Linked DNA regions of Macaca mulatta. The protein of the gene in region 1 binds, or shares a complex with, the protein of each later gene. Links are inferred from orthologs where the notes say so. Each region holds a gene or a part of one and is shown in the gene's direction. Other genes may lie near its edges.

Region 1 (4,245 bases):
GAGCATTTATAATTCACTACAGAAATTTATTGTACGAAAGACTGTAATATCATCAGTCAGCCTTATATCCAGACAATCTCAGTTCTCATCCTGTCACTACCACTTTCTGACTGAGGGCCACCGGAGAAATTTCTCAACTTCCCCTGTGCTTCCCTTACCTCAACAATTATTATTATGTATGTGGATGTGTATATATACATATATATATCTTTTTTTTTTTTTTTTTCCTGAGACGGTCTCTGTCACCCAGGCTGGAGTGCAGTGGCGCAATCTTAGCTCACTGCAACCTCCACCTCTTGGGTTCATGCCATTCTCCTGCCTCAGCCTCCTGTGTAGCTGGGACCACAGGCGTCCACCACCACGCCCGGCTAATTGTATTTTTAGCAGAGGTGGGGTTTCACCATGTTGGCCAGGCTGGTCTCCAGCTCCTGACAGGTGTTCCACCTACCTCAACCTCCCAAAGTGCTGCGTACAGGCGTGAGCCACCGCGCCCAGCCCATTTTTATTTTTTGAGGCAGGGTGTGGCTCTGTTACCCAGGCTGGAGTGCAGTGGTACAATCACAGCTTACTGCAGCCTCGACCTCCTGGGCTCAAGCAATTCTCCCATCTCAGCCTCCTGAGTGTGCTGAGACTACATGCGCATGCCATCACTGCTGGTTAATTTTTGTGGTTTTGTTTTGTTGTTTTTTGTAGAGACGGGGTCTCGCCATGTTGCCCAGGCTGGTCTCAAACTCCTGGGCTCAAGCAATCCTCCTGTCTCGGCCTCCCAAGTGCTGGGATTATAGGCGTGAGCCACCGGCGCCTGGCCTACCTCATCAATTAAATAATAACCCCTAGGATGACTAGAAGTCTTCAAGATTACATGAGATCCCACATCTGAAGGTTTTTGCAAAGGACGTGGCACAAACTCGTGCAACTAGAGATGCATATGGCTCTTGCTCTGGAAATGATCACCTTGATAGGAGCAAACAAAGCTGGTCTTCCGTGCCCTTTAATCTCCCCTTCCAGCCTTCCACCTTCCACACTGGCGACCCCCCAACCCCGTTTTTCTGAACCTCCCTTCCTCCCCTTGCATAGCCCAAAGCCTCTCTCTAAAGTAGCCCACCGAAAACATCTGTCAAGTTCCTAACTTATCTGAATCGGAAGCTACTAATAGCCAACCTACATCTAAGAGGAACTGTAAGGTGTCAGAGGAACAAGGAGCATAGGTCGCTTAGACGTGGGCCACCCAAGAAGACAGATTGACACTAAGCGAACCCGCGCTGTCTGCGAAGGCGGGAGCGGCACCAGGACGATCCAGGGCGCAGGCGCCGGGGCCCCACGGCCACGCCCCTATTCAGCACGAGTTGGCCAATGGGGAGCGGCGGCCGGGAGAACGCGCGGCTTCTTTAGGTTCCGCTGCCTCCCCGGCCAAGCTTGACGTCACCAACGCGCGCCGGAAATGCGAGATCAACTGCGCGCCGCTGGCGCTGAGGGAAGGAAGTTTGCAGTCCAGCGGCCTAGGTTCTGTGGGCAAGGCCGTGGGAGGCAGCGTTGGCTGCTTCGACACACCGAGGGCGGCGCGATGGGAGACGAGATGGATGCCATGATTCCCGAGCGGGAGATGAAGGTCAGAGACTAACTGGGGCCTCCCTCCCTTCTTTAGTCCTGGCGTTGCCTTGGAGCCCAGCTGAAAGGCGAAGCGCGGTGCCGGCTGTCCCGTCTCCTGCTTGAACAGACTACCGCGTTCACCGCTCTCAGCTGCGCGTCTGCCGCGCCGCTGGCGTGATAGCCCCACCGAATGCAGTTTCCCAGTCCCATCCTGGTCTCGTGCACGTCTCTTGAGTTACCCTAGCTAGTTTCATGTGGCGGTCACAATAGTGGCAATAACTGCTGTGTATGGAGCGTTGACTGTGTGCCAGTCGCTGTGTAGTCATCGCAGCAGCCCTACGAAGTGGTTATTAACGTAGAGGAGTAAGTCGAGGCTCGGAAAGTGATTTCCCTAAAGTCACATTTGACAGCGGGGCTGAAAGCCAGCATCGTTTAAGACCTTCGCTCTGCCAGTATTTCTGTAAGGCGGTACGGGCTTGCCTAACGTAGGGTCAGGGGAGGTCATCCATCCTGCAGAACCTTTAGTTGACTGGACTAGGAAGACTGTTTTGATATCGGTGTATCAGCCTCAAACCAGGAACCTAAAGGGAGGGCTAAGTGTTTCCAGTGATGGCAACGTGGGAGTCCCCCAGGGATAACTTCAGGATGGTGTGTTTAATAGTTCTTATATGTGTTCTGACAGAATGAGGGTGCAGCAAACGGCCTACATCTGTTTTAAATAGTGAAAGGAAGTAAGATGCAGGAAGATTTTAGTCATCTGTGTGAACAGTAAATCACTAACATGCATGTAGGGCATAGTAATACATACCCTGTTTAGAATAGTGATTTTTTTTTTTTTTTTTTTTTTTGAGACAGAGTCTCGCTCTGTCTCCCGGGCTGGAGTGCAGTGGCCGGATCTCAGCTCACTGCAAGCTCCGCCTCCCGGGTTCACGCCATTCTCCTGCCTCAGCCTCCCGAGTAGCTGGGACTACAGGCGCCCACCACCGCGCCCGGCTAATTTTTTGTATTTTTTAGTAGAGACGGGGTTTCACCGTGTTAACCAGGATGGTCTCGATCTCCTGACCTCGTGATCCGCCCGTCTCGGCCTCCCAAAGTGCTGGGATTACAGGCTTGAGCCACCGCGCCCGGCCTTTTTTTTTTTTTTTTTTAAGACATAGTCTCGCTCTGTCACCCAGGCTGGAGTGCAGTGGCATGATCTCGGCTCGCTGCAACCTCCACCTCCCCAGCTCAAGCGATTCGCCTGCCTCAGCCTCCCGAGTAACTGGGATTACAGGCACCTGCCACCATGCCTGACTAATTTTTTATATTCTTTGGTAGAGATGGGGTTTCACCATGTTGGCCAGGCTGGTCACAAACTCCTGACCTCAAGTGATCTGCCCTCCTCTGGCTCCCAAAGTGCTGGGATTACAGGTGTGAGCCACCGTGTCGGCCTAGAATAGTGATTATTTTTTGAGAATCACCACCTGTGGTGAGCCACCTAATGGGATTGTGTCATATTCCTCAGATATACTGGGGTAGAAGAAAAAAAGGGTTTATTAATAGAATCACAGACTTAGAAGATGGTAATCTCAGACTCCCTTTGGCAGCACATATAAAATTGGGATCATGCAGAGAAGACTAGCATGGCCCCTTTACATGGATGACACACAAATTCGTGAAGTGTTCCATGTCAGAAAACACTGAAGGCCGAGCGGAGTGGCTCACGCCTGTGAGCCTGCACTTTGGGAGGCTGAGGCGGATGGATGACTTGAGGTCCGGAGTTCGAGACCAGCCTGGCCAACATAATGAAACCCTGTCTCTACTAAAAATACAAAAATTAGCCGGGCATGGTGGTGGGCGTCTGTAGTCCCAGCTACTTGGGAGGCTGAGGCAGGAGAATTGCTTGAACCTGGAAGGCAGAGGTTACAGTGAAGCAAGATCGCCCACTGCACTCCAGCCTGGGCGACAAAGCGAGACTCCGTCTCAAAAAAGAAAAAAAGACAACTGAGACAGACCGTGTTCTCAGTAATATATATTTTTGTTGTACTGAAATTGGGTCTACTGAATATAACTTGTTTTAATTTCTTTATTTATTGAATTGATCTTGTTTTGATTCTTCACAACAGGATTTTCAGTTTAGGGCGCTAAAGAAGGTGAGAATCTTTGACTCCCCTGAGGAATTGCCCAAGGAACGCTCGAGTCTGCTTGCTGTGTCCAACAAATATGGTCTGGTCTTTGCTGGTGGGGCCAGTGGCTTGCAGATTTTTCCTACTAAAAATCTTCTTATTCAAAATAAACCCGGAGATGATCCCAATAAAATAGGTAAGTTCCGTGGTTTATGTTGCAAAGTAGAGAGAGGAGTGTGGTGGCATGCTCTTGTGTTTCCTTCCCAAGAAGTCATTCTAATACTAAAATGAACACTGCTGTCAGTTTGAAGGTTGACTCCCAAGAAGATTAATGGAAGCCTTTCTAGGTTTTCTCCTTGGTCCTTTGTACTTTTCCTTACATGAGTTGTTCTTCTCAGCTCAAGAGGGAAGAACTTAACCATTATGCCATACTTTTATTCTTGCCCAGTTGAACTTGGGCTCTGGCTCTCTGGGTGAAGGGTTTTATTGGCATGGGTTTTCAGTTGGCACAACAGTACGATCCAAACTATTGGCAATGTGTACTATTTAG
Region 2 (3,500 bases), on another chromosome or scaffold:
ATGGATATGAGACGCTCCAAGCTTACATCCTCCTGCCAGCTAGCAATCTCAGTAAAAGGAGTATATTTTCTTTCCCAGTATCTCCAGCAAGAGTCCTGATGGTGAATCTTGCTATAGCTCACATCCCTAAACTCAGAGTTCTGGAATGGGATCAGGCCTATCCAAAACATAGGAGCTAAGAATGGGGAAAAGGTGATTCCCTAAAGGGATGATGGAACAACAAACATGTATTTACCTTACTGGTATATAAACACATTTACTTACTGACTTACTGGTCAAGTTGAACATGCAATATTATCAGGGGAGTAAATGAGCAGTAACAGCCTTGTCATTAGAGACTGTTTTTGTAGTAGTTTTTCATAAATCAGAGGTCATCAACCTCTTTTAACCCCATTTGTTTCTAGCAGAATTAAATGCCAGTGGGTGCCGTGGGAACCTATTGTTAAGCCTAAAGTCAAATAGAAAAGGGATTTTTTAGAAATAAAAACAGGGCCAGGTATGGTGGCTCACACCTGTAATCCCAACACGTTGGGAGGTTGAGGTGGGGGGGATCCCTTCAGTCCAGAAGTTCGAGACCAGCCTGGGCAATATAATGAGACTCTGTCTCTGCAAAAAATTTTTAAAAAGAAAGAAAAATAAAGGCAGAAGCCACAGAAAGACATACATATGTTTTAAAAATAGAATACCATTATTTATTATTTATTTATTTATTTAATTTATTTTTTTTTTTGAGACAGGGTCTCACTCTGTCACCCAGGCTGGAGTGCAGTGGCGCAATCTTGGCTCACTGCAACCTCTGCCTCCTGGGTTCAAGTGATGCTCCTGCCTCAGCCTCCCAAGTAGCTGGGATTACAGGTGCCCGCCACTACGCCGGGCTAGTTTTTCTATTTTCAGTAGAGACGGGGTTTCACCATGTTGGCCAGGCTGACCTGGAACTCCTGACCTCAGGTGATGCACTTGCCTTGGCCTCCCAAAGTGTTGGGATTACAGGCGTGAGCCACCGCACCCAGCCAGAATGCCATTATTAACTGCCTACATCCATCCCTTGTAACATTTGTTCCATAAGTTATCTAAACTTGTCATATATTGGTTATACTTTACTCTAAAGTACCCTGGTTATTGTACTGACTGCTTTTTCTTGTTTCTTAAGGCACAACGACTCTGTAAACGCTGTGGTCAAGCATGGAGAGCTGCAACACTTGAAGGCTGGAAACTGTACCATGACCCTAATGTTAATGGAGGTATTTTAGTAGATTTTATATTGACAGTTGAGGACAAAGGCATTTCGCTCTAAATGCCAATCTTTGTGAACTATAGCTTCTCTTTTTAGAAAGGATTGTAATAAGGTTTCATTTTAAACCAGAAATTTTCTTTTACTGTTTTATAGGAACAGAATTAGAACCTGTTGAAGGGAATCCATATAGACGCATTTGGAAAATAAGTTGCTGGAGAATGGCAGAAGATGTAAGATAAATAAAATATTCAGTGATACTGTTTTTAACTCCAATTAATTGAAAGCCTATTCAGGGGCTATGAAACGTTGAAAGTAGTGTAAAACTGGTTTTCAAAGAACTTCCAATTAAATTGAGGAATAGGCTTAACAACTTATCAGAATTATTAAAACACTATGTACTAAGAATTAAGCATTGATATAAGGCAGAAATGTAAAGGAGGTACCAAATGAATTTAGAGAAAAAGTATTGGACTAAAGCTTAAAGCTGGCTTCCCTAAGGAAAGAATTGAATTGAACTTTTAAAACTTAGTAGGATTTGCGTTTTGGGGAATGAAAAACAAGAGGAAGGAATTCTAGGTAGGATACATAGATTGGGAAACTCAAAGTAAGGTAGGTCTACCAGGTTGGAGAAGAATGCTCATAAAGGAAATACTGTCAGTTCTGTTGTAACATGACATAGGTATTCAAAGTCACCACAATGTGCAGCATTGTACGAAAACCCCATAGGACTTAACAGGAAAATGGAGTTAAGACAAAAATACTCAAAAACTTCATTAGTGATACGTAAAATAATAAAAAGTTAATAAAAATGGTAGCACAGTTTTACATCTGTCAAACAGTTTAAAAAATACATAAATACTACAATAAATATGGCACTTTACCTTGAAAAAGGCCCAAAGTTTGCTTGTGGAATTGGCTGTCAGGGTGGTAGAAGCTTTAGCGCAGATAGCAGAAGTGTTTTTGAGAAGATCAGCCTGGCAATGGAAAAATATACTTAAAATTAGATGGACAAAAGGCTGAGAAAGTAGTTAGGAGCCTGTCAGAATTATTTGGACACTAAGTCATAAGGGTCTGACCTAGGATAGTATTGATGGGAATGGAAAGGAAGGAAGAGACACTGGTTAGGAGCAGTGATTAGAAACAGAAGGCAGAGGTGGACTCAGTTATGCAGTAAGAGTCTCTGAAGTCTCTTGTTTGGATGATAAGAAAACTGGAAATACCAAAAGTAAAATGGGGAATTAGTTCTACATAGAAATTAGATGCAAACTAATGCATGCCTTGTTTTGATGTTGTACATAGGTCAGTATCAGAGAGTATCAGGTCAATATCAGAGAGTATCAGGTATTGAGAAACATTCTAGGAGAAAATAATATATAGGTTGTTTCTGGAATAAAATTTGATTTTAAATATTCAAAGCATCCACTAGAGTTGGATTTGCTTTCACCCGATATTTGGCATTTAAATGTTTTACTTTTTTTCTCCAGATCTCAGCATTGATTATTTCATCACACTGAAGTTCTTCCTTGTTATTACCCCACTAGATCTTTCACTAAAGTTTAAAAACTATCAGGTGAATAGGTTCAGTCTAGAAGAGATTGCAAGACTCCACATTATGAGGAAAATTGACATACTAAGAAAAACAGTATTTCAAATTTGTTTATGTTCATTGTGTTTTAGGAGCTTTTTAATAGATACGAGAGAGCAATTTATGCAGCTTTAAGTGGGAATCTTAAGCAGGTATGCAATCTGTTTTAATGTTTAAATTTTTTCTGTGGAATAAAATTAAATAGATAAAATATTCTAACAATTGTATTTAACAAATATAAACTTAAGTGTATATACTTAAGTATGTATGTACATACTTAAGTGTAGCAATGATAGAGATAATCATGAATCAGATAGTGACTCGTTGTGCTTAATTTGATGTATCCCATAACATACATGGTGTTTTAATGAATGAAATCAGATTTCAGTTTTTAACTAAGAATTGTAAACTTAACTCCAACACACATTTATTGATGACTTAAAATACTCATAGCTGTATGCAGAAATGTGCCAGAAAGGCACAGTGAGTCCTTGGGTTGTCTTACATACGCATGTTTTTCTCACAACCCAATACTCCCCACATATTATAGCTATCTTTAGGGATACTACACTAATCAGTTGAAATGTCATATGAGCCTGGAAAACATGTTGTTGTTAACAGTATGAAAAAATCTGAACAGTTCAAACATCTTACAAGATGTAGTTGGCAGGGGAAAGCTTA
Region 3 (4,020 bases), on another chromosome or scaffold:
TTAAAATACGAACAAAATAAAAGTTCCGCTTTTGTTTTTTAGGGGTGCTATCCCTTAGCTAATTTTTAGCTTGTTCTATCATACTATCTTTACTTGTGCAAATTTAGCCCATCCTTGTAGGTCTAACGTTTATGCCACCTCTTTAGGAAGCCCATCTTGTGCTCTCTCCCTTCTCTAAAATTTTATATACATCCCTTAAACATATGTTTACATATTCTCCGCCTTCAACTCCCATTCTCAGGCTATTTTATTCCCGTTTATGAGATTTGCTGTTTAGCTCAGTATTTTGTGGGTTTTCAAAAGATTCCACTCAATTTACCGAGCACCTATGCACCAGACATTTTATTAGGTACAAGGAAAAGCGTTAAATAGATATAATCATGGCCTTCAAGAAACTGAACCTGGTAAGGGAGACGAATAAGTAGACATTCAAGTGAGCTTTAGGAGACTTGGTTTGGTAGTGAATACAGTCTCACGTGTATTAACAATTTACAGCACCGTAAAATAAGAGACAGAAGCCAACAAATCCGTTTCAAACAGTTCAAAGGAGGAAAAGGAGAGGGAAGGGCGGTTTAGATACAGCATCACCATAAATAGCCTGATAATCTAACCCTGTGATAATCCAAGTATAGTCACAGCACCTGCCTCAGAATCACTTGGAAGGCTTGTGAGGAATACAAACGCAGATTCATACCTACTGAAATTAGAATGGAGAAAGGGGCATTTAAGTCTGCATTTTAAAGACATTCCCCAGGTACTGAAGCCATCCAAAGTTTTAGAACAGAGCAGAGCCACGCTTCGCAGACCTTGTTCCTCAACTACTGCCTCCTTCTAGCCGGAGGGTGGCGTGCAGCGTGTCCCTTCCCTTCCCACCGTCCAAGTTATCTATCCAGTTTTCGAACGTCGGCCCACAGACCGCAGGACAATACGCGAGAGACTAGGAGCACCCACTACGCAAACCACCACACAGGGATCGGAGGCCGGACCCGCAAAGGATTTGGGGAAAAAGGCATCAGGCCAATCCGAAGGGCGAGAGCGGCCCTAGGAATGGAGGGGCGGGGTGGGTGGCGGGGGGGGGGGGGCGGGGAGAGAGAGGTTTTTTTTTTTTCTTGATTGACGTAAAGCGTACCCAATTAAAATAAAACTGGTAAAGCTTCCGCCATAATGGGCAGAACCATAGCGACATTTCAACCAATCCAGCTCAAAAGTGTCTATGTTGTGGGAGGTCCCTGAGGCCGCTGAGGTCGTTCGTGTCTGTTGAACGGTTGTGGGAGTCTTGCTGCTTTGGGTAGGGGGTTAAAATCGTTTCTTGAGAGGAACGACTCTGTCCGAAGAGATAATGAGTTTAGCTCTGAGGTCGGTAATAAGGAGGCGGCAGTGCTCTCCACACCCCGGAGCGGGACCTAGGGAGGGTGTGTGTGGAAGGGAGGCCGTTTGGGGCCGTGGCGAGGCAGGGGATGCTGTTTGGGATGCGGGAAAGGAGCCTAGGGCAGCCTGTCTGGATCACTCACCCTCTGGGCTCTGGTGCCCTGCAGGGAACGAGACTTCCAGTGCATTTCTACTAAGGAGGTTATTTCTGTCAGCGCGTAGGGCTTTCGACTACCAAAAAAATGGGCTTAGTTGCGAGCGAGGGGGAGGGAATGAAATATCGCGAGGCTTCTACTCTGTTGCTCTGAGAGATCAGGCCGCGGAACATCCCTTCATTCAATTCGTATGCCTGGCCAGGGCCCCACCTCCGCTGCTCTGCTGCTGATGCAATCATCCACCTATAAATTTTGGAAATAACAAAAAACTCTTTGCTATTCTCCCAAGGTCCTGCTTTACGGTGTAATTAGAAACCCATTTTAGTGACTAATTGGCAAACTGTCTCTTGGATTTCCTGTTTCTTTCATTTCTTTACCTTTCAGTTCTAACCTCTAACCCTCTGTCTGTTACCCGCTCCCCCTACGTAGACGTTGTACCGTAAAACTATACATATACTTAGGACACTCTAAAAATGTTCCATGTTCTGCTAAGGGATAATCATGGTACCCTTGGATGGGGTCAGGGGTGGGTCGGTTCTGGACTTGGCCTCTAAAAGTCTCAGGAAGGAAAAGACTGACCCCAGGAATACCCAAGTTTGTGTCAAGTCAGGTCTCATGAAAGGAAGATCTTCCTCAGCTTTGTCATACTGCATCTACTGGTCACTTCCTAGCCTTTTTTTTTTTTTTTTTTTTTGTAGCGTTCAGAGACCAAAACGACTTTCAAATGCAGCTAGATACGTGTTTTAAATACAGTCAACTGGTTTTGACATGTTAATGTGTTACCAGATTGTGTGTTTCAAAACTTGTTCTTATACCAGTGTTGCGGCTCCATTGGAAAACTTGGAGCACATTTAGATGGGCAGCTCTTACGGAAAACATTTCTGGCTTTAAAGTAATTTTTGCTTTTTTCTTTAAGCGTTTCCAGAGTTTATGAGAAGTTTAACCTCCAGTTTACATCTTAAGTGAGACAAGACTTATGAAGCACAAATATTGTATACTTTTTTGACATCTAATATTTGTCATATGTTTAGACTCATTAATATTTTGGGTGATTTGTTAATATCAGTGGAGGAAATGACACATAAATTGCCAAACTGTTAGAAACGTGTAATCTAAAAACATTTTGAACCAACAGTCCCAAAATATAAGTTAATCCAGTTGTATTTTTTGTAGTAATTTTATGAACTTAATTATCAGAACTATCAAAAGTAAACCGATATATGGTGATTGTCAGTTACGAATTTTGGTTTCATTTGGAGATTTTTTGGTTTCTTTAACATTCTTGTAGAATAATGTGAGTGTTTTTGTTTTTTTTTGGTTGGAGTTGGTTGGAGTTTCAGACATAAAAGTAATGTTGCTTATTCACAGTTCTTGAATAAATAAAAAGTTAGGGAAAGTGGGAATAAATAAAAAGCTGGGAAAAGGAAAAGTTTGGTCCTCATTTCTTTTAATAATCTGTAACACTCTTTAGTTTTGGGAAGTTCATATTTATAGCAATTTAGACTATGGAATAAACAGGGCATTGACTCATAAAGGGAAAGTTTCCCTGTCTTTCTCCAAAGTACTTTCTTTTTTGAAATTTAGAAAATAATTATTGGCTAATTTCTGTTAGTAAAGAGAATTAAAGTGGACTAAGGGCTTTTTCTTTCCATTTCATAGAAGTGAGCTTGTAGTAGACAAAACAAAGAGGAAAAAAAGAAGAGAACTGTCTGAGGAACAGAAACAAGAAATTAAAGATGCTTTTGAACTATTTGATACAGACAAAGATGAAGCAATAGATTATCATGAATTAAAGGTAATGGTATACTTTAAAATACTTGTTTCTGTGTTAAAATGATTTGCATTTTGACAGTTGCTTTACATTACATTTCTAAGTAATTATTTTAACTAAATTGGTTTTGGAACTATGAAGGCATTTTAAGCATTCATAGTTAGATTCTATAATAATACTGAATAGAACTCCTAACACAGTTTTTAGAAAATCTTTTTCACGTGATAAAACGAATAGCATTTTAAATGTAACAATACATTCCTAGGGAAGGTGCTTATTTTTCACTGACATAATTAAAGGATTTCAAACTGGAATTTAAACTATTACCATATTCTTTTCACTGTTTTTTTTGTTTTTGTTTTTGTTTCTTGGTGACTCATACTGTTTTCAGATTGTGGGATTGTTGTCTTTTAATCTTATAATTTGTATTTGTTAGTAACATAGTCTCAATCCACTTTCTGTGGTACAAACAACTTCAGTGCTGTTTGATGTTGACACATGCTTGTAGGTAAAAATGTCAACTTTAAGACCTAGAATGTCAAGGTGTAGAGAGGGATTTGTAAATTATTATTTGTCAGGGTATAAGGAGAGATTTGGGTTTAGGGTAGAATGGGACTTACTTTCAGCACAGTGGGAAAGATAGTATTTTGAGATTTTTAATAGCCTTAATGGATAGGTGAATGTAAGTGTTTATTTGATAGTTTTAATTTTTGTAATTTCTTAAGG
Region 4 (3,500 bases), on another chromosome or scaffold:
TCTGAATGAGAAAGGTGAGTGGGGTAGACAGTAGTACAAATTACAGCTCATATCTGACAGATTTTCACAAAGATTAAACCAAATCTACATAAAGTGTTTAACGTAGTACCTTTCATGTACTAAATGCTTTTTTTTTTTTTTTTTTTTGAGGCAGAGTTTTTTTTTTTTTTTTTTTTTTTGAGACGGAGTCTCGCTCTGCTGCCCAGGCTGGAATGCAGTGGCCGGATCTCAGCTCACTGCAAGCTCCGCCTCCCGGGTTCACGCCATTCTCCTGCCTCAGCCTCCCGAGTAGCTGGGACTACAGGCGCCTGCCACCTCGCCCGGCTAGTTTTTTGTATTTTTTTTTTAGTAGAGACGGGCTTTCACCGTGTCAGCCAGGATGGTCTCGATCTCCTGACCTTGTGATCCGCCCGTCTCGGCCTCCCAAAGTGCTGGGATTACAGGCTTGAGCCACCGCGCCCGGCTGAGGCAGAGTTTTGCTCTGTCACCCAGGCTGGAGGGCAGTGGCACAATCTCAGCTCACTGCATCGTTCATCTCCCAGCTTCAAACAATTCTGCCTCAGCCTCCCCAGTAGCTGGGATTACAGGCTACAGGCGTGTGCCACCATGCCCAGCCTTTTTTTTTTTTTTTTTTAGTAGAGACAGGGTTTCACCATGTTGGCCAGTCTGGTCTCAAACTCCTGACCTTAGCCTCTACTAAATGCTTAATAATTTTTACCTATTATTATCCTCATCAAAGTTCCAACTCCTAGTACAGCGCCTGACACATAATAGGCATAATTCAATGTTTGCTGTACTTTTCATGTGAATCAAGAGCATCATTTCTAAATAATCATTTGAAGAAACCACTTTCTCATTGAATATTGAGTAATTCACACAACTATTATGGAGAACTCACTGTGTGCCAAGCACTGTAGTGGGTTTGGGGAATATAAAAGTAAACAGTATGTGTTCTGCCCTTACCAAAATAATGATTTCGTGGGGGAGATATATACAAGTAAAGCAGCAGTTACTGTAGCTTCATAAGTATAGGGGTTAAGCAAAGAGAACTATCAATGTGCCAGCACATAGCTGGATGTGGTGGTGCGTGACTGTAATCCTAGCACTTTGGGAGGCTGAGGCAGGAGGGTTGCTTGAGACCAGCCTGAGCAACATAGCGAGAGCCCCCCTTTAAAAAAAAAAAAGCCTGTGTTACATAAAACCTCTCTAGTATTGGTTTGTTCTGCTTTTCCCCCTTACCCCACATGTCACCATGTAAATCTCCTTTGAATTCTCACCTTTGGGAGTTTTAGCTGTCTTCTCTTTGCCTGGAAAGCTGAGCTCTCTCCTTGTAATTCAGGTCTCGACTTAAATATGACCTCCTTGAAGAAGCCTCTCTTGGTCCTCCAGTCTCAAGTAGCTATCCAGTTTCTCTCTGCAACATCCACCTGTTTAAATTATCTACATGGCTTGTGATTTTTCAGGATGTATTACTGTTTTATGTTTTCTTATTTAGTTTCTGTCAGTTTCATGAGAGCAAATAATTTGTCTTGCTCTTGATCCTCCTGCTGCCTGCACCCAGCTTTTTTGGTGTTTTAGAAAAGGCTAGGCCAGGCGCGGTGGCTCAAGCCTGTAATCCCAGCACTTTGGGAGGCCGAGACGGGCGGATCACGAGGTCAGGAGATCGAGACCATCCTGGCTAACACAGTGAAACCCCGTCTCTACTAAAAATACAAAAACTTAGCCGGGCGAGGTGGCAGGCGCCTGTAGTCCCAGCTACTTGGGAGGCTGAGGCAGGAGAATGGCGTGAACCCGGGAGGCAGAGCTTGCAGTGAGCTGAGATCCCGCCACTGCACTCCAGCCTGGGTGACAGAGCGAGACTCCGTCTCAAAAAAAAAAAAAATAGAAAAGGCTATAAACTTGGAGTCAGGGGACCTAAATTAAATGTTGGTTCAGGCTGCATTTTTTACTTCCTGTGTGCTCTTAAGAAGTCATACCATCTCTCTGAACCCAGTTTATCTTGATTTTTGGTGCTGTATTATTAAAGCTTGCTGTATTATTAAAGCTTGCTGTATCTTTCGGGATCTCAAGACTTTCCTAGTCCAAGGCTGTGTACACTATGTTACCTTCCTCTTGTCTGTTACTGCATAATTAGTGCCTTGTCCTCCACTAGATGGTGGTGGCTTGACCCTGTGTCATCTTCTTGGATTTTCCCCTCCCTCACCTCACTGTTGTTTCAAGGTTTTGTATAGAGTCTATAGGTGGTGTTGAGTGATAGGAACTCCCCTTGGATTAATTGACTTCTCTGCTTCTTTGTAGGTGGATTGCTCAGGTTATGACCTGGAGCAGTTACACATCAAAGTGACTTCACTGTGCAGTCGCATAGAGCAGATTCAGTGTTACAATGCTAAAGATCGCCTAGCTCAGTCAGGTAAGCCTCTAATCTCCTCACTTTTTCTGCCTTCTTGCTTCCTGTTTTTATCTTACACCCCACCCTCAGTGCCTGCCACCGTTCTCTAGACCCATGCTCAGTGCTTAACTCTAGTTTTTCTCTCTAGACATGGCCAAACGTGTAGCCAACCTGCTGCGGGTGGTGCTGAGTCTGCATCATGCTCCTGATAGAACCTCCGACTCAACACCAGACCCTCAGCGAGTCCCTTTGCGCCTCTTGGCTCCCCACATTGGCCGGCTCCCCATGCCTGAGGACTATGCCATGGACGAACTGCGCAGCCTTACCCAGTCCTATCTGCGAGAACTCGCTGTTGGGAGCCTGTGAGCCCCAGACTCTTTGCATCACACTCACATGCCCGTTCACACTCACCACACAGAGGTTCCCTGCCTTGTTTGGATTGGCACTGTTTGCCATTCTCTGGGTTGGCTATGGCATCTGCCCTCCTTCCCTGCTGCCACAAGCAGCATCCTCCAGTTGTTCAGGGCTTTTCTTAATACTAAACATAGCATAAGGGCTTCTGGAACCCAGAAGAGGAGACAATTCTCTTTTTACCATCCTCAAGACCAGTGTTTTTCCTTTTAATAAATGGTCAATAAAGCTCCTTTGGCAGAATCCCCCAAAGAACCAGGGAATCCTTTTTCACCCCTAGCCATTCTGGATCTTGTGACCCTCCATGCCAACCAGCTACCCTACTCCTACCCTGGCCCTTTTATGCTAGGACTCCTTAGGAGGAGTGAGACAGGTAGTAATGGATCCTTAACAGGTGAACTATCCACAGAAGGAAGAGGGATCCGTCTCTTAAGTAATTGGTTAGTTAACACTGAATTTTGGAGGCAGAGGAGGGTTGGCCTGAGTTAGGAAACAGAATGGGATCTTTCTGACACACTTAGGGCAGAAGTGAATGCCTGCCATGGAGGGATTGATCTTCAGAGCTTCTTTTGTTCCTGCCTTTAGTGTTCCATGAACACCATACCTTTGCTACTACTATGTGCAGGAGCCCTTGGTCATATGTGACATGTCTATGGGAAGCTCCCAGAATTTGGTTTGGTCCCTGGTTTTCAGTCATCTT
Region 5 (3,500 bases), on another chromosome or scaffold:
GACTGATATATTTAAAACCCAAGGGCCGGACGCTGTGGCTCACACCTGTAATCCCAACACTCTGGGAGGCCAAGGCGGGCGGGTCACCTGAGGGAGTCTCTCTCTGTTGCCCAGGCTGGAGTACAGTGGCGCGATCTCAGCTCACTGCAACCTCTGCCTCCTGGGTTCAAGCGATTCTCCTGCCTCAGCCTCCTGAGCAGCTGGGATTACAGGCATTTGCCACCACGCCCAGCTAATTTTTGTATTTTTAGTAGAGACAGGGTTTCACCATGTTGGCCAGGCTGGTCTCGAACTCCTGACCTTGCGATCTGCCCACCTTGGCGTCCCAAAGTGTTGGGATTACCGGCGTGAGCTACCACACCTGGCCTCCTTCCTTTCTTTCGAGACAGTCTCACTATCACCCAGGCTGGAGTGCAATGGTGCCATCTTGGCTCACTGCAACCTCCACCTTGCAGGTTCAAGCGATTCTTGTGTCTCAGCCTCCTGAGTAGCTGGGATTACAGGTGCCCACCACCACGCCTGGCTAATTTTTGAATTTTTGTTAGAGACGGCATTTTGCCACATCGACTAGGTTGATCTCAAACCCCTGACCTCAAGTGATCCACCTGCCTCAGCCTCCCAAAGTGCTGGGATTACAGGCGTGAGCCACCGCACCTGGCCAACATGACCTAAGTTGGGTTTTAAATATATCATGTTATGCTGAATAAACCCAGAGTCCTTACAGTGGCCTAGAGTGACCCACTGCTGTCTCTCTACCTTCATCTGTTCACTCTTCCCCTCCTCTTCACCAGCCACATACCTTCTTGCAATTCCTTGAATATGCCGGGACACCCCTACTTCAAGGCATTCGTTTGGTATAGCCAGCTACTAGCTTGGCTCATTCCCGCAGCTCCTTTAGGTCTTTACTCAATGTCACCTCGTTGAGGCCTTCCCTGACCACCCTTTTCAAAATTGCGGTGTCCCTGCCTGCCCTCCCTATGTCTTGGCATTCTCTGTACTCCTTTTGTGTCTTATTTTTCTGACTTACTGCCATTCTACTTAATTTAACTGTCTCTGCTTCTCCCCTTCCCCTAAGGGAATATAAGTTCCATGAGGACAGGAGTTTTAAAATTTGTTTACTGCTATGTCACCACCATCTAGGACTGTGCCTGGCACAGGAAAGGTACCTAGGGATTGTTTTGGAAAGAATGAAGTGATTCTGCTGGGTGGCAATATGGGTTACTGTCTGTAAAAGGCAAAAATTTCCACGGGAAGTATAAAAATGCTATTTTTATGGATCTAATAATGATTCAAAATATTTTAGGTGTGATATATGTAGGAAAGTTACGTCCTAAAACTTTGTTAGTACAGAAATACAGAAGCCTGTTGCCTGTTATAAAGACCTTGTTCGTGGTTACATCATTCTTGCCTTTGGGTTTCTCAAAGTGTGTTCAAGAGGTGCCTTGGATATCATTGCAGGTATGGTGTCAGTTGTGGAGCTGAAACAGAGTTCAGTAATGCAACGATTGCTTACAGGCTGGATGCCAACAGCCATCAGGTGAGTGGTGTCTGGTAGGTAAATCAAAGGGCCCAAGAATTTAATCTTTTTGTACTGGTCGGCAGTTATTGTTTCCAGTCTTATTCCAAGGCAAACATTATACTGGAAAGGAGAACAGTCAGAATAAAATCAAATTCCATCTGAGGAAAGCCATACTCCCAAGTCCATTTCGTCTGCAATTGGATGCATTGACAGCATAAAGCAGCCTACTGTTTATATTCTCAGAATACCCAGTTCGGTGCTCTGCCCTGACTTACCCAAATCGAGTTTTGTGTAAAATTATCAGAAGTAGAAAGTTTTTGATGGTTAAAGGAAAACAATACAAAAGGAAACAGTCTTCCATTGTTATGTAGAGCCTTTTAAATTTTATTGTAGTAATTGGTGATAAACCAAATAGAAATGTAGTTGTCTTATACTAGCATATAAGCTCTTGGTCCTTCTGCTAAGAGTGTACATTTATAATTCTATTATATTTCTTGAATTGCAAATTCTAATGATGAGATACTTTGCAGCAGTAAAACTCTAAAACTGGGTCTTATGTTTTAGGGGTGACCAGTCGCCTTCAGATCGTCCCCTCAGTCTTGCTGTTCATTGTGTGGAGCATGATGCCTTCATCTTTGCTCTGTGTCAGGATCATAAACTACGAATGTGGTCTTACAAGGTAAGTGCTACATTTATAGTTGCTGTAAGTTAAAATAGCATTGTGAATCATGAGAATTGAAATAAATTTTGCTGTTTCTCTTAAAGATGATCAGATCAATTAGTTTGGAAATTATTGGTCACTTCCAGATTCAGACAGTTTCATTTAGCTTTATTTTGCATATATTTTCCTCCTTATTGTCTTTTTATTTGGAAAAATTATCAATCTTACAGGAACACTGAAAGAGTAGTACAAAGTATACATTTCACTATTTTTTCTTTTTTTAAAATTTTTATTTTTTGAGACAGTCTCACTTTGTCACCCAGGCTGGAGTACAGTGGCATGAATGCAGCTCACTGCAGCCTCCGCCTCCCGGGCTCAAGCTATTCGCCACCTCAGCTGCTCAAATAACTAGGACTACAGGCTCATGCTACCACAGCTGGCTAATTTTTGTATTTTTTGTAGAGACCGGGTTTTGCCATGTTACCCAGGCTGGATGTTTCATTTAAGAGCAACAAATATGTTTTAAAAATGTAAGTTGGTAAAATGGTTTTCAAGATTCATCTAAAAAAATACAGCTTATATTTTATATGAGTCTGATCTTATATTTCAGACTGAAGAGATGTTTTACATGTTAGCCTCCCGCCCCCCACCCTCCCCTGAAACAGTCTTGCTCTGTCACTCAGGCTGGAATGCAATGGCGCAATCTCACCTCACTGCAACCTCCGCCTCCGAGGTTCAAGTGATTCTCCTGCCTCAGCTTCCCAAGTAGCTGGGATAACAGGCATGCACCACTGCACCTGGCTAATTTTTGTATTTTTTAGTAGAGATGGGGTTTCACCATATTGGCCAGGCTGGTCTTGCACTCCTGACCTCAGGTTATCCACCCACCTAGGCCTCCCAAAGTGCCGGGATTACAGAAGTGAGCCACTGCGCCCGGCCCGTGTTAGCCCTTTTAAAACAAAAACCTGTAAGGTCTTTTAGCAGATAAACTAGATAGAGTGGTAGATATAATGAAAGGTCCATCCTTTCAAAAGGTACGTTCTTCTAGCCTGAATATCCCTTGAATATCACCTATTAACTGTTTTCCTGGACAGGAGCAAATGTGCCTGATGGTAGCTGACATGCTGGAATATGTCCCTGTGAAGAAAGACCTTCGGCTCACTGCTGGAACTGGACACAAATTACGGCTTGCTTATTCCCCTGCCATGGGACTCTACATAGGGATATACATGCATGCACCAAAACAAGGACAGGTATGAAACACATAAGACACATACCAAGTTATTCTGTGTGTACTGATGTGGAGAAATGGCTGTAGAC
Region 6 (4,246 bases), on another chromosome or scaffold:
CTTAAGAGGAGGCAGACAGAGAGGACAACTGGGACAAAGATGAGAGGCAGTAGTGTGGCTGGCACATGAGGTTCAACCACAAAGCCAGTGTTCTGGGGCTGAGAGAAGAGTTGTGGAGTGATGGGAGGGGACACGTCGTGCCAAGCTTTGGAGACCATGATGAGAACTCTGGCTCGTACTACTTGGGGGGATGATGATGACCCAAAAATTAGGAGTCTGTTCACTGCTGAAGAGGGCAAAGGGCAGAAGCTCCATTTAAAAGGTTCTAATAAGCCTCAGGCCTTTCTCTGCCTGAAAAACTTACTTTCTGCCCTCTACTTCCCTAGATTACTGCCCCAGTGCCTGGAGGAAAATCAGGTGAAGGCTAAAAGCCACGTAGACAGCTAAAGAGGGCAAACTGGACCTCCAGCTCCACTTCTGCAGGTCTGTCTCAGTCCACACAGCCCTTGCACACGCTCCCTTTTAATTCTCCAAGCATACCTCTCACTTCCAAAACTCCTGTGACTCTGCTGATGAGGGCGTCTCGGCCTGGAATGCTCCTCCTTATCTGCACTGTGTGGGTGTCAAAAAGAGTATATTTTGATGACCTCTCCCCGCCCCTCTTGCTTGCTCACATCCCCTTCACTCCTTTCAAAGTCCGTTCCCAAAGCCCCCAGTTCACCGTCCTGGGCTGTTTTTAGCCAGGTAAGACCTGAAGTGATCCTCTCTTGGAACCTGGTCTGGGGCCTACACATCTGGGTCAGTCTGGGGGTGCTCTCGAAGGGCCACCCTCAAAGAGCGAGCCTCGGCTGGATTCAGTTCCTAGGTCCCAGCCGTCCGACCTCTGCCACAACGCTCAGCAGACCCCTTCCCCTCTCCGGGTCTCAGTTGCCCCGTGAGTACAGTCCCTGCTCCAACACGCAAGGTCAATCGTCTCTGGCTGCTCTGATGCACTCGGTCCCTAACTCAGCCTTAGGTCAGCACAGAAAGCACCCGACCCGGGCGGCCCCGCAGCTCCTCACCCTCCCGCCCCGCCCAGTCGCTGACACAGGGTGGCCTCCAAGGGCAAGGCCACGACTCTTACCCGTCCGCAGGTGCCCCACTGGCTGGCCTCAGCTCGCAAGCAGGCTGCACCCACCGAACTCCAGCCCCGGAACGCCACCCTTTACTCCCCTCCCGCGTGAGCCGAGAATCAGCCGAGCTTCTTCTACCAAGAGGATTGGCCCAGCTCGGCGTCGGCTCAGCCAATTGGCGCTCACGGCTTGATCTTGCCCAATAAAGACAGGTCTCTGTCCCCAGCGTGCCCCTCCCCGCGCTGGGCCTGGGCTTTGCCAGGTTAGTCCCACCCTCTTCGGCCCTGCACCAGTAGGGAGCGGCGGCGGCGAGCGGACGCCCAATGGGGAGCGGGGCTGTGCGCGCGGGGCGGTGGGAGCGGCGCCGAATCAGTGTACACGTCGGTTGCCTAACAACCGGCCGTGGACTCCTTTGGCTATGGTGAGTGCTGCCGCTCTGTCGCGCCCCACGCCCAGAGGCTGAGCCCTTCCCAGGCCCCAGCTCGGCCACGCCGCCTCTCCTGCGCCTTTCTCGGCTTTGACGCACCAGTCCTTCCTTTGAGCTCTTTCCCGGAAGAGTAGGGTACAGACGCTAACCAACCTACTGGGCCTGCGCTTTGCTGCTGCCTCCCCTTCACCCACAACAGGCCCACACCCGCCCCTCGGGCTCCCCTGGCCTTCCCTGATCACCTCGGTGAACCTCCCTGGGCAAAAAAGACTCGAATCCCTCACAGGCCCCTGACTTTCTCAGACCTTGGCCCCCTGGCCGCCTCATTCTGCCAAAATTTCCACACAGAGCTGGGAGAAGGTGTATTGTGTTCTATTAAAGTGTTTTTTACAATTTAAATATAGGGGCATTCAGGGGATGCTGTAGCTTCTTGGAGAAGGCACGAAGGTGTCAGATGGATTGAGTTTTATTACTCGATACTGACACAATATACATCTTAACAACTTGCTAATATTTGGCCAAATCTAGAAGTAATTGGGAAGTCAGAGTGCTTACTGGGAAGCGGAGTACTGGGAGTGGGCATTGTAAGGCAGTTTCCAGAACCAGGATCCCCACATTCGGGAAGAGCTGATTATCTCTACTTATTCGCAGTCATTTTCTTGACTAGCTCTCTTTTGGGATGATTTTCAGTAAGAGGTATCCTTACTGAACAAGTGATCTCCCTGCTTCTAGAAACGACAGTAAAGAAAAGGGAGGGATAGAAGTTCATGGAAAGATTCATTGTTCTTGCCAGTAAACCCTGTTATCTTTCTTGTTAAGCAAAGCTTTGGAATTGGTTGCCATAAAATTATTTAAAACTACATATGGGTGTCTGTAACTATGTTATGTAAATATGGACTGTACGATATATTATTGTGCTTGTGTATTGCATAACGTATGAAGGCCTCCAACTTTAAGAAGACAAACATGGCATCAAGTTCCCAGAGAAAAAGAATGAGTCCTAAGCCTGAGCTTACTGAAGAGCAGAAGCAGGAGATCCGGGAAGCTTTTGATCTTTTCGATGCGGATGGAACTGGCACCATAGATGTTAAAGAACTTAAGGCAAGCTCTATGCATTCCTGCCGTACTGCCCTTCCTTTCCTCTGCCTCTTCCTTGTCATCTCCCTATCACCTCTCTACCCCTTTTGCCCTCTTCTCCCTGCAATAAGTAACAGGGGAGGTTGTACTGTGCTCTGTTTTCCTGTCTTTACTTAGAGTATTATTAAATAAAATTGATTGCAAATGTCAATTAGATCAATGTTATAGTGTTCCCCAATCATATTAACATGACCACATCAGATGCTGGCTTAATGCTCTCAACACTGTTGTTTTTGCTGCTGCTAGTTCAGATGTGCTTATTGAGACAATCCTGTTTTCATTATAGGTGGCAATGAGGGCCCTGGGCTTTGAACCTAAGAAAGAAGAAATTAAGAAAATGATAAGTGAAATTGACAAAGAAGGGACAGGAAAAATGAACTTTGGTGACTTTTTAACTGTGATGACCCAGAAAATGGTGAGTAGCTAAGACAATTTGCATGGTATGGCGCCCCAGTCATCTGCAGAGGCCCATGGCATCTGCCTGTTAAAACAGTCATGTGACCACAGAGCAGTCCAGGTAGCAGCTGCATCAGGAGGCCTGCCCTCCCATCATGTTACCTTGGGCTCCCAAAACAAGCCCTTGTACTTCTTTCTCAAGACTTCCAAGCAGATACCTCTTCCCACAGAATTCTAAACCAGTTAGGAAATAGATATGGGATAGGGAGAGATATAGGGATAGGGAGCAAACGTCACCTTGGATGGAGTGCCTGGCTTGACTGGTGTTTCTCTGAGGCCAAAATGGGCTTCCTGACACTTGCTGCAAGTCTAGACTCGAGTTACATTGTTAAAAAGGAAAGGGTGACCTGACCGGGCAGTGGCAGGGCTACAGGACATGAGTAACCATGGTGTCCCCCTACTCATGTGTTTCATGTTCTATTTGGTAAGTCTGAGAAAGATACCAAAGAAGAAATCCTGAAAGCTTTCAAGCTCTTTGATGATGATGAAACTGGGAAGATTTCGTTCAAAAATCTGAAACGCGTGGCCAAGGAGTTGGGTGAGAACCTGACTGATGAGGAGCTGCAGGTTTGTAATGCATCACACTGGAACTTAAGATTCCCACCTTTGGGCCCTCTGTGACTTTTCTGTTACATTTTCCCTAGTGTGAGCACTTCTTTGAAGGAAAGCCAGTGTACTTTGTCCCTCTGTGGACAACTGAATTCTCCTTTAATAGTCAGACAAACCTATGAACGCTGCTTCCAGAAAAATGCACATAGGCACAGTTTTGCCTACTATTTTACATTCCAGGAATCCCTCTAGTCAAGGTAATCTTCAAGCTCCCTCCCAGGTGATAATGTTTGACAAAGTATGAGTTGGTTTTCAAATAAGTTTTCAGGAACCAAGCTATTATCAGGAGTGGCATACTGGCATTGGGTGGACTACAATTATCTATTCACATAGTGTTATTAAAAGTCTATTGCTTGCCAGGCACAGTGGCTCATGCATGTAATCCCAGTACTTTAGGAGGCTGAGGCAGGAGGATCGCTTGGGGCCAATAATTTGAGAGTAGTGTGGGCAGCATAGAGACCCCGTCTCTAAAAAGAGTCATATTACTTAGTCACCTTTTGGCATTAGTTTATAAATTAATCTAACCTGAATCTTTACTGTCATATAGGAAATGATTGATGAAGCT
Region 7 (4,284 bases), on another chromosome or scaffold:
GATCCGCCCATCTCGGCCTCCCAAAGTGCTGGGATTACAGGCGCCCATCACGAAGTCCGGCTAATTTTTTTTTTTTTTTTTTTTGGTCACCCAGACTTGAGTGCAGTGGCACGATCTCGGCCGACTGCAACCTCTGCCTCCTGGGTTCAAACGATTCTCTTGCCTCAGGTGTCCGCCACCACGCCCAGCTAATTTTGTAATTTTAGTGGAGATAGGGTTTCTCCCTGTTGGTCAGGCTGATCTCGAACTCCCAACCTCAGGTGATCCACCCACCTCGACCTCCCAAAGTGCTGGGATTACAGGCGTGAGCCACCGCGCCCGGCCTAAATTTTGTATGTTTAGTAGAGATGGGGGTTTCCCCATATTGGCCACGCTGGTCTCGAACTCCTGAACTTGTGATCCACCCGCCTCGGCTTCCCAAAGTTTGGGGATTACAGGCGTGAGGCACCGCACCCTGCCCAAGCCCGGCTAATTTTTAAAATATTTTTAGTAGTGACGAGGTTTCATCATATTGGCCAGGCTGGTCTTGAACACCTGACCTCCAGTGATCCGCCCATCTCGGGCTGCCGAAGTGCTGGGATTAGAGGCTTGAGCCACCTCAAGCCTCTAATCCTTCAGGAGCATCGATTTTGTCCCCGTGCCTCTTTTTTTTTTTTTTTTTTTTTTTTGAGACGGAGTCTCGCTCTGTCGCCCAGGCTGGAGTGCAGTGGCACAATCTCGGCTCACTGCAAGCTCCGCCTCCCGGGTTCACGCCATTCTCCGGCCTCAGCCTCCCGAGTAGCTGGGACTACAGGCGCCCGCCACTGCGCCCGGCTAATTTTTTATATTTTTAGTAGAGACGGGGTTTCACCATGGTCTCGATCTCCTGACCTTGTGATCCGCCCGCCTCAGCCTTCCAAAGTGCTGGGATTACAGGCGTGAGCCACCGCGCCCGGCCTCCCCGTGCCTCTTGTGTGTGTTCTAGTGTGGGAGTGACGGCGACTGCTTTCCAGCACAAGCCCATTTGACTGGGTTTGGACAAGTGGCTGCTACGACACTAAGGTGGAGATAAGGATGGAGCGAGGACTCCCAGAGTTGGGAAAGCTTGCAGGCTTACTGGGACCTCAGTCCGGCACAAGTTCCCACCCAGGTGCCGCCGCCCCAGCCTACGCACGCGCAGTCGCACCGTCTCTGGCCAAGGGTTCCTCCTGCCCCGCCCGCCCTCTCCGGGGGCCTTCTCTCCGCTCGGCACCAGGGTGTCCGCGGCGCCGCCTGATCCCGTTAGCGCGGTACTGTGAGTGCAGTCCGTCCTCGGCGCTGTTTTCCCTGACTTGCTGTCGACGCCAGGAAGGAAGGACGCGCGCAGAGGACCGCAGAGGGGTGGCCGTGGCTGAGGGAAGAGAGCGCCGCAGCACTGAAGGTTTGGGCTTGCAGGCGCTGCAGGAGGCGCCCAGGCGGGGTCCTGTCTCTCAGCCAGCTCTGAGCGGGAGGCCTGAGCCGGAAGCATTGACGTCCCGGCGACTTCCCAGAGCCTGGGGTTCGGCGCTATGGAGGAGCTCGATGGCGAGCCAGCAGTCACTGTAAGGGCACCCCGAACAGGCTTGATCGTCCTTGTGGGTTGAGAACTGCGTCTGCTTCGTTACTTCAGGCTTGTCTGCTTCCCTACTGGCTGCGAGGCTCTCGTCCCCTTCCCTTGATTCAGTTGCCACTTTCCGGAGGTCGCAGTGTTAACTAGGTGCCCGACCTCGGGTCGTAGTGGTCGCGGGGTTTCTGCCACCAGTCACAAAGCCAGGCCTCGAAGGTCCCAGTCCGTCCCTTTCCTTCTTTTGTCTTGCTGACCTTTCTACTTCCCTCGCATTTCCTCTTGGGTATTAGAGTGGGTTCAGCCCAAGCAGAGGAATTTATGTTTTTCTTCCAGCCATATTAAGCTCTGCATCGCGGCACGTTGAGTTCTGCTTGTGTGACCTAAGGTTTATTAAACGTATTATCTCAGGAGACTATTCATATTTTATCGCTGTGCATTCAATTCCATTTGAACTTTGAAGAGAGTATGTCAACTGTGGATGATCTGTGATGTGTATAAAAAAAATTCATGGACTTTATGTGCGACATACCTACCGTTTCTGCTACTTGGAATGCTTTTGTTTTCCCTCTTTCTCTTGTTAACCGCTGACTGAGGCAGGTCTCAACCGATGAAGGTTTATTTAGCTAAGGTTGAGGATCCAACCGGGAAAAAACACAGGTCCCAGGAGGATCTGAGACTTGTGCTTTTTCCAGAGATGGTTTTGGGAACATCAGTAGTTAAAGAGGAAGGAACTAGCAGGAGGGGCAAAAAAGGGAGGTTAGGCAGTGAAGAGGCAAATGGTTACATTCTTGTGAGTCTCTGATTAGCCTCAGTAAATCTGCATTTTACCTGTGAAAAGAGGGAGTAGAGGAAAAATTTATGTATGCATTCATCTCAGGGTAGGTAGAGGGATGGTTTCATTTCTTTTTTTTTTTTTTTCTGAGACGGAGTCTCGCTCTGTTGCCCAGGCTGGAGTGCAGTGGCGCCCCTCTGGGCTCACTGCAAGCTCGGCCTCCTGGGTTCACACCATTCTCCTGCCTCAGCCTCCCCCAGTAGTTGGGACTACAGGCGCCCACCACCACGCCCGGCTAATTTTGTTTTGTATTTTTAGTAGAGACGGGATTTCACCGTGTTAGCCAGGATGGTCTGGATCTCCTGACCTCGTGATTTGCCCACCTCGGCCTCCCAAAGTGCTGGGATTACAAGTGTGAGCCACTGCGGCTGGCCTCTTTCTTTTTTTGAGACGGAGTCTCACTTTGTCACCAAGGGTGGAGTGCAGTGGCGCCATCTCAGCTCACTGCAACCTCTGGCTCCCAGGTTCAAGCGATTCTTCTACCTCACCCTCCTGAGTAGCTGAGATTACAGGTGCGTGCCACCACACCCAGCTAATTTTTATATTTTTGGTAGAGATGGGGTTTCACCATCTTGGTCAGGCTGGTCTTGAACTCCTGACCTCGTGATCCGCCTACCTCAGCCTCCCAAAGTGTTGGGATTACAGGCGTGAGCCACCACACCTGGCTAGGAGTTCGAGACCAGCCTGGCCAACATGGCGAAACCCCGTCTCTACTAAAAAAAATACAAAAATTAACCTAGCGTGGTGGCGCATGCCTGTAATCCCACCTACTCAAGAAGCTGAGGCAGGAGAATCGCTTGAACACAGGAGGCAGAGGTTGCAGTGAGCGGAGATCGTGAGATCGCGTCACTGCACTCCAGCCTGGGCAACAAGAGTTCGAACTCCTGGCCGGGCGCGGTGGCTCAAGCCTGTAATCCCAGCACTTTGGGAGGCCGAGACGGGCGGATCACAAGGTCAGGAGATCGAGACCATCCTGGCTAACACGGCGAAACCCCGTCTCTACTAAAAACACAAAAAATTAGCCGGGCGAGGTGGCGGCGCCTGTGGTCCCAGCTACTCGGGAGGCTGAGGCAGGAGAATGGCGGGAACCCGGGAGGCGGAGCTTGCAGTGAGCTGAGATCTGGCCACTGCACTCCAGCCTGGGCGACAGAGCGAGACTCCGTCTCAAAAAAAAAAAAAAAAAAAAAAAAAGAGTTCGAACTCCTGACCTCAGATGATCTGCCCACCTCAGCCTCCCAAAGTGCTGGGATTACAGGTGGGAGCCACTGTGCCCAGCACAAAATGAATTTTTCTTACTAGTGTTATAAGAAAATGTTATTGAAGGATACAATGTTATTACAGGACCAGCTGTGCTCTTCACTTAAAGTGTTTTTCAGCCAGGCCGGCATGGTGGAAAGTGTTTTTCAGCCAGGCGGGCACGGTGGCTCACGCCTGTAGTCCTAGCACTTTGGGAGGCTGAGGCGGGTGGATCACCTGAGCTCGGGAGTTTGTAACCAGCCTGGGCAATATGGTGAAACTCCATTTCTACTAAAAATGAAAAAAAAAAAAAAGCCGGGTATGGTTGCACACATCTATAGTCCCAGCTACTCAGGAGGTTGAGGCAGTAGAAGACCTTGAACCCAGGAGGCGGAGATTGGAGTGAGCTGAGATTGTGCCACTGTACACCAGGCTGGGAGACAGAGTGAGTCGTTGTCTCAAAAAAAAAAAAAAAAAAAAAGAATAGAACGACTTCAGTAAGAAGAACATTCTTCATTTTAGATTTCTATGTCTTATTTTACTAGGTGATTCCAGGTGTGAATTCCAAGAAGAACCAAATGTGTTTTGACTGGGGTCCAGGGGAGATGCTGGTGTGTGAAACCTCCTTCAGCAAAAAAGGTAGGGGTTTTTT

The links.
Region 2: NUP214 (region 1) and NUP107 share a complex: the UniProt entries of both Homo sapiens proteins name them as parts of the nuclear pore complex. The link is inferred for Macaca mulatta from reciprocal best matches to the Homo sapiens genes NUP214 and NUP107.
Region 3: NUP214 (region 1) and CETN3 share a complex: the UniProt entries of both Homo sapiens proteins name them as parts of the nuclear pore complex. The link is inferred for Macaca mulatta from reciprocal best matches to the Homo sapiens genes NUP214 and CETN3.
Region 4: NUP214 (region 1) and NUP98 share a complex: the UniProt entries of both Homo sapiens proteins name them as parts of the nuclear pore complex. The link is inferred for Macaca mulatta from reciprocal best matches to the Homo sapiens genes NUP214 and NUP98.
Region 5: NUP214 (region 1) and NUP160 share a complex: the UniProt entries of both Homo sapiens proteins name them as parts of the nuclear pore complex. The link is inferred for Macaca mulatta from reciprocal best matches to the Homo sapiens genes NUP214 and NUP160.
Region 6: NUP214 (region 1) and centrin-2 share a complex: the UniProt entries of both Homo sapiens proteins name them as parts of the nuclear pore complex. The link is inferred for Macaca mulatta from reciprocal best matches to the Homo sapiens genes NUP214 and CETN2.
Region 7: NUP214 (region 1) and NUP85 share a complex: the UniProt entries of both Homo sapiens proteins name them as parts of the nuclear pore complex. The link is inferred for Macaca mulatta from reciprocal best matches to the Homo sapiens genes NUP214 and NUP85.

The regions. Positions count from the first base shown.
Region 1 is NC_133420.1:16,423,360-16,427,604, reverse strand, and holds the start of NUP214 (nuclear pore complex protein Nup214), read left to right. Parts: upstream 1-1,445; 5' UTR 1,446-1,564; coding exon 1,565-1,609; intron 1,610-3,162; exon of another isoform or gene 3,163-3,264; intron 3,265-3,695; coding exon 3,696-3,891; intron 3,892-4,245. UniProt on the Homo sapiens protein: Part of the nuclear pore complex. Has a critical role in nucleocytoplasmic transport.
Region 2 is NC_133416.1:75,841,611-75,845,110, forward strand, and holds part of NUP107 (nuclear pore complex protein Nup107), read left to right. Parts: intron 1-1,150; coding exon 1,151-1,241; intron 1,242-1,387; coding exon 1,388-1,464; intron 1,465-2,911; coding exon 2,912-2,971; intron 2,972-3,500. UniProt on the Homo sapiens protein: Plays a role in the nuclear pore complex (NPC) assembly and/or maintenance. Required for the assembly of peripheral proteins into the NPC. May anchor NUP62 to the NPC. Involved in nephrogenesis.
Region 3 is NC_133411.1:96,792,236-96,796,255, reverse strand, and holds the start of CETN3 (centrin-3), read left to right. Parts: upstream 1-1,220; 5' UTR 1,221-1,339; coding exon 1,340-1,356; intron 1,357-3,182; coding exon 3,183-3,318; intron 3,319-4,020. UniProt on the Homo sapiens protein: Plays a fundamental role in microtubule-organizing center structure and function. As a component of the TREX-2 complex, involved in the export of mRNAs to the cytoplasm through the nuclear pores.
Region 4 is NC_133419.1:72,131,707-72,135,206, forward strand, and holds part of NUP98 (nuclear pore complex protein Nup98-Nup96), read left to right. Parts: intron 1-454; exon of another isoform or gene 455-1,609; intron 1,610-1,743; exon of another isoform or gene 1,744-1,889; intron 1,890-2,298; coding exon 2,299-2,410; intron 2,411-2,537; coding exon 2,538-2,755; 3' UTR 2,756-3,500. UniProt on the Homo sapiens protein: Plays a role in the nuclear pore complex (NPC) assembly and/or maintenance. NUP98 and NUP96 are involved in the bidirectional transport across the NPC. May anchor NUP153 and TPR to the NPC.
Region 5 is NC_133419.1:17,750,756-17,754,255, forward strand, and holds part of NUP160 (nuclear pore complex protein Nup160), read left to right. Parts: intron 1-1,458; coding exon 1,459-1,537; intron 1,538-2,083; coding exon 2,084-2,198; intron 2,199-3,274; coding exon 3,275-3,433; intron 3,434-3,500. UniProt on the Homo sapiens protein: Functions as a component of the nuclear pore complex (NPC). Involved in poly(A)+ RNA transport.
Region 6 is NC_133426.1:159,106,006-159,110,251, reverse strand, and holds the start of centrin-2, read left to right. Parts: upstream 1-1,446; 5' UTR 1,447-1,470; coding exon 1,471-1,473; exon of another isoform or gene 1,474-1,839; intron 1,840-2,421; coding exon 2,422-2,580; intron 2,581-2,902; coding exon 2,903-3,031; intron 3,032-3,501; coding exon 3,502-3,639; intron 3,640-4,228; coding exon 4,229-4,246. UniProt on the Homo sapiens protein: Plays a fundamental role in microtubule organizing center structure and function. Required for centriole duplication and correct spindle formation. Has a role in regulating cytokinesis and genome stability via cooperation with CALM1 and CCP110.
Region 7 is NC_133421.1:84,893,998-84,898,281, forward strand, and holds the start of NUP85 (nuclear pore complex protein Nup85), read left to right. Parts: upstream 1-1,484; 5' UTR 1,485-1,526; coding exon 1,527-1,559; intron 1,560-4,177; coding exon 4,178-4,271; intron 4,272-4,284. UniProt on the Homo sapiens protein: Essential component of the nuclear pore complex (NPC) that seems to be required for NPC assembly and maintenance. As part of the NPC Nup107-160 subcomplex plays a role in RNA export and in tethering NUP96/Nup98 and NUP153 to the nucleus.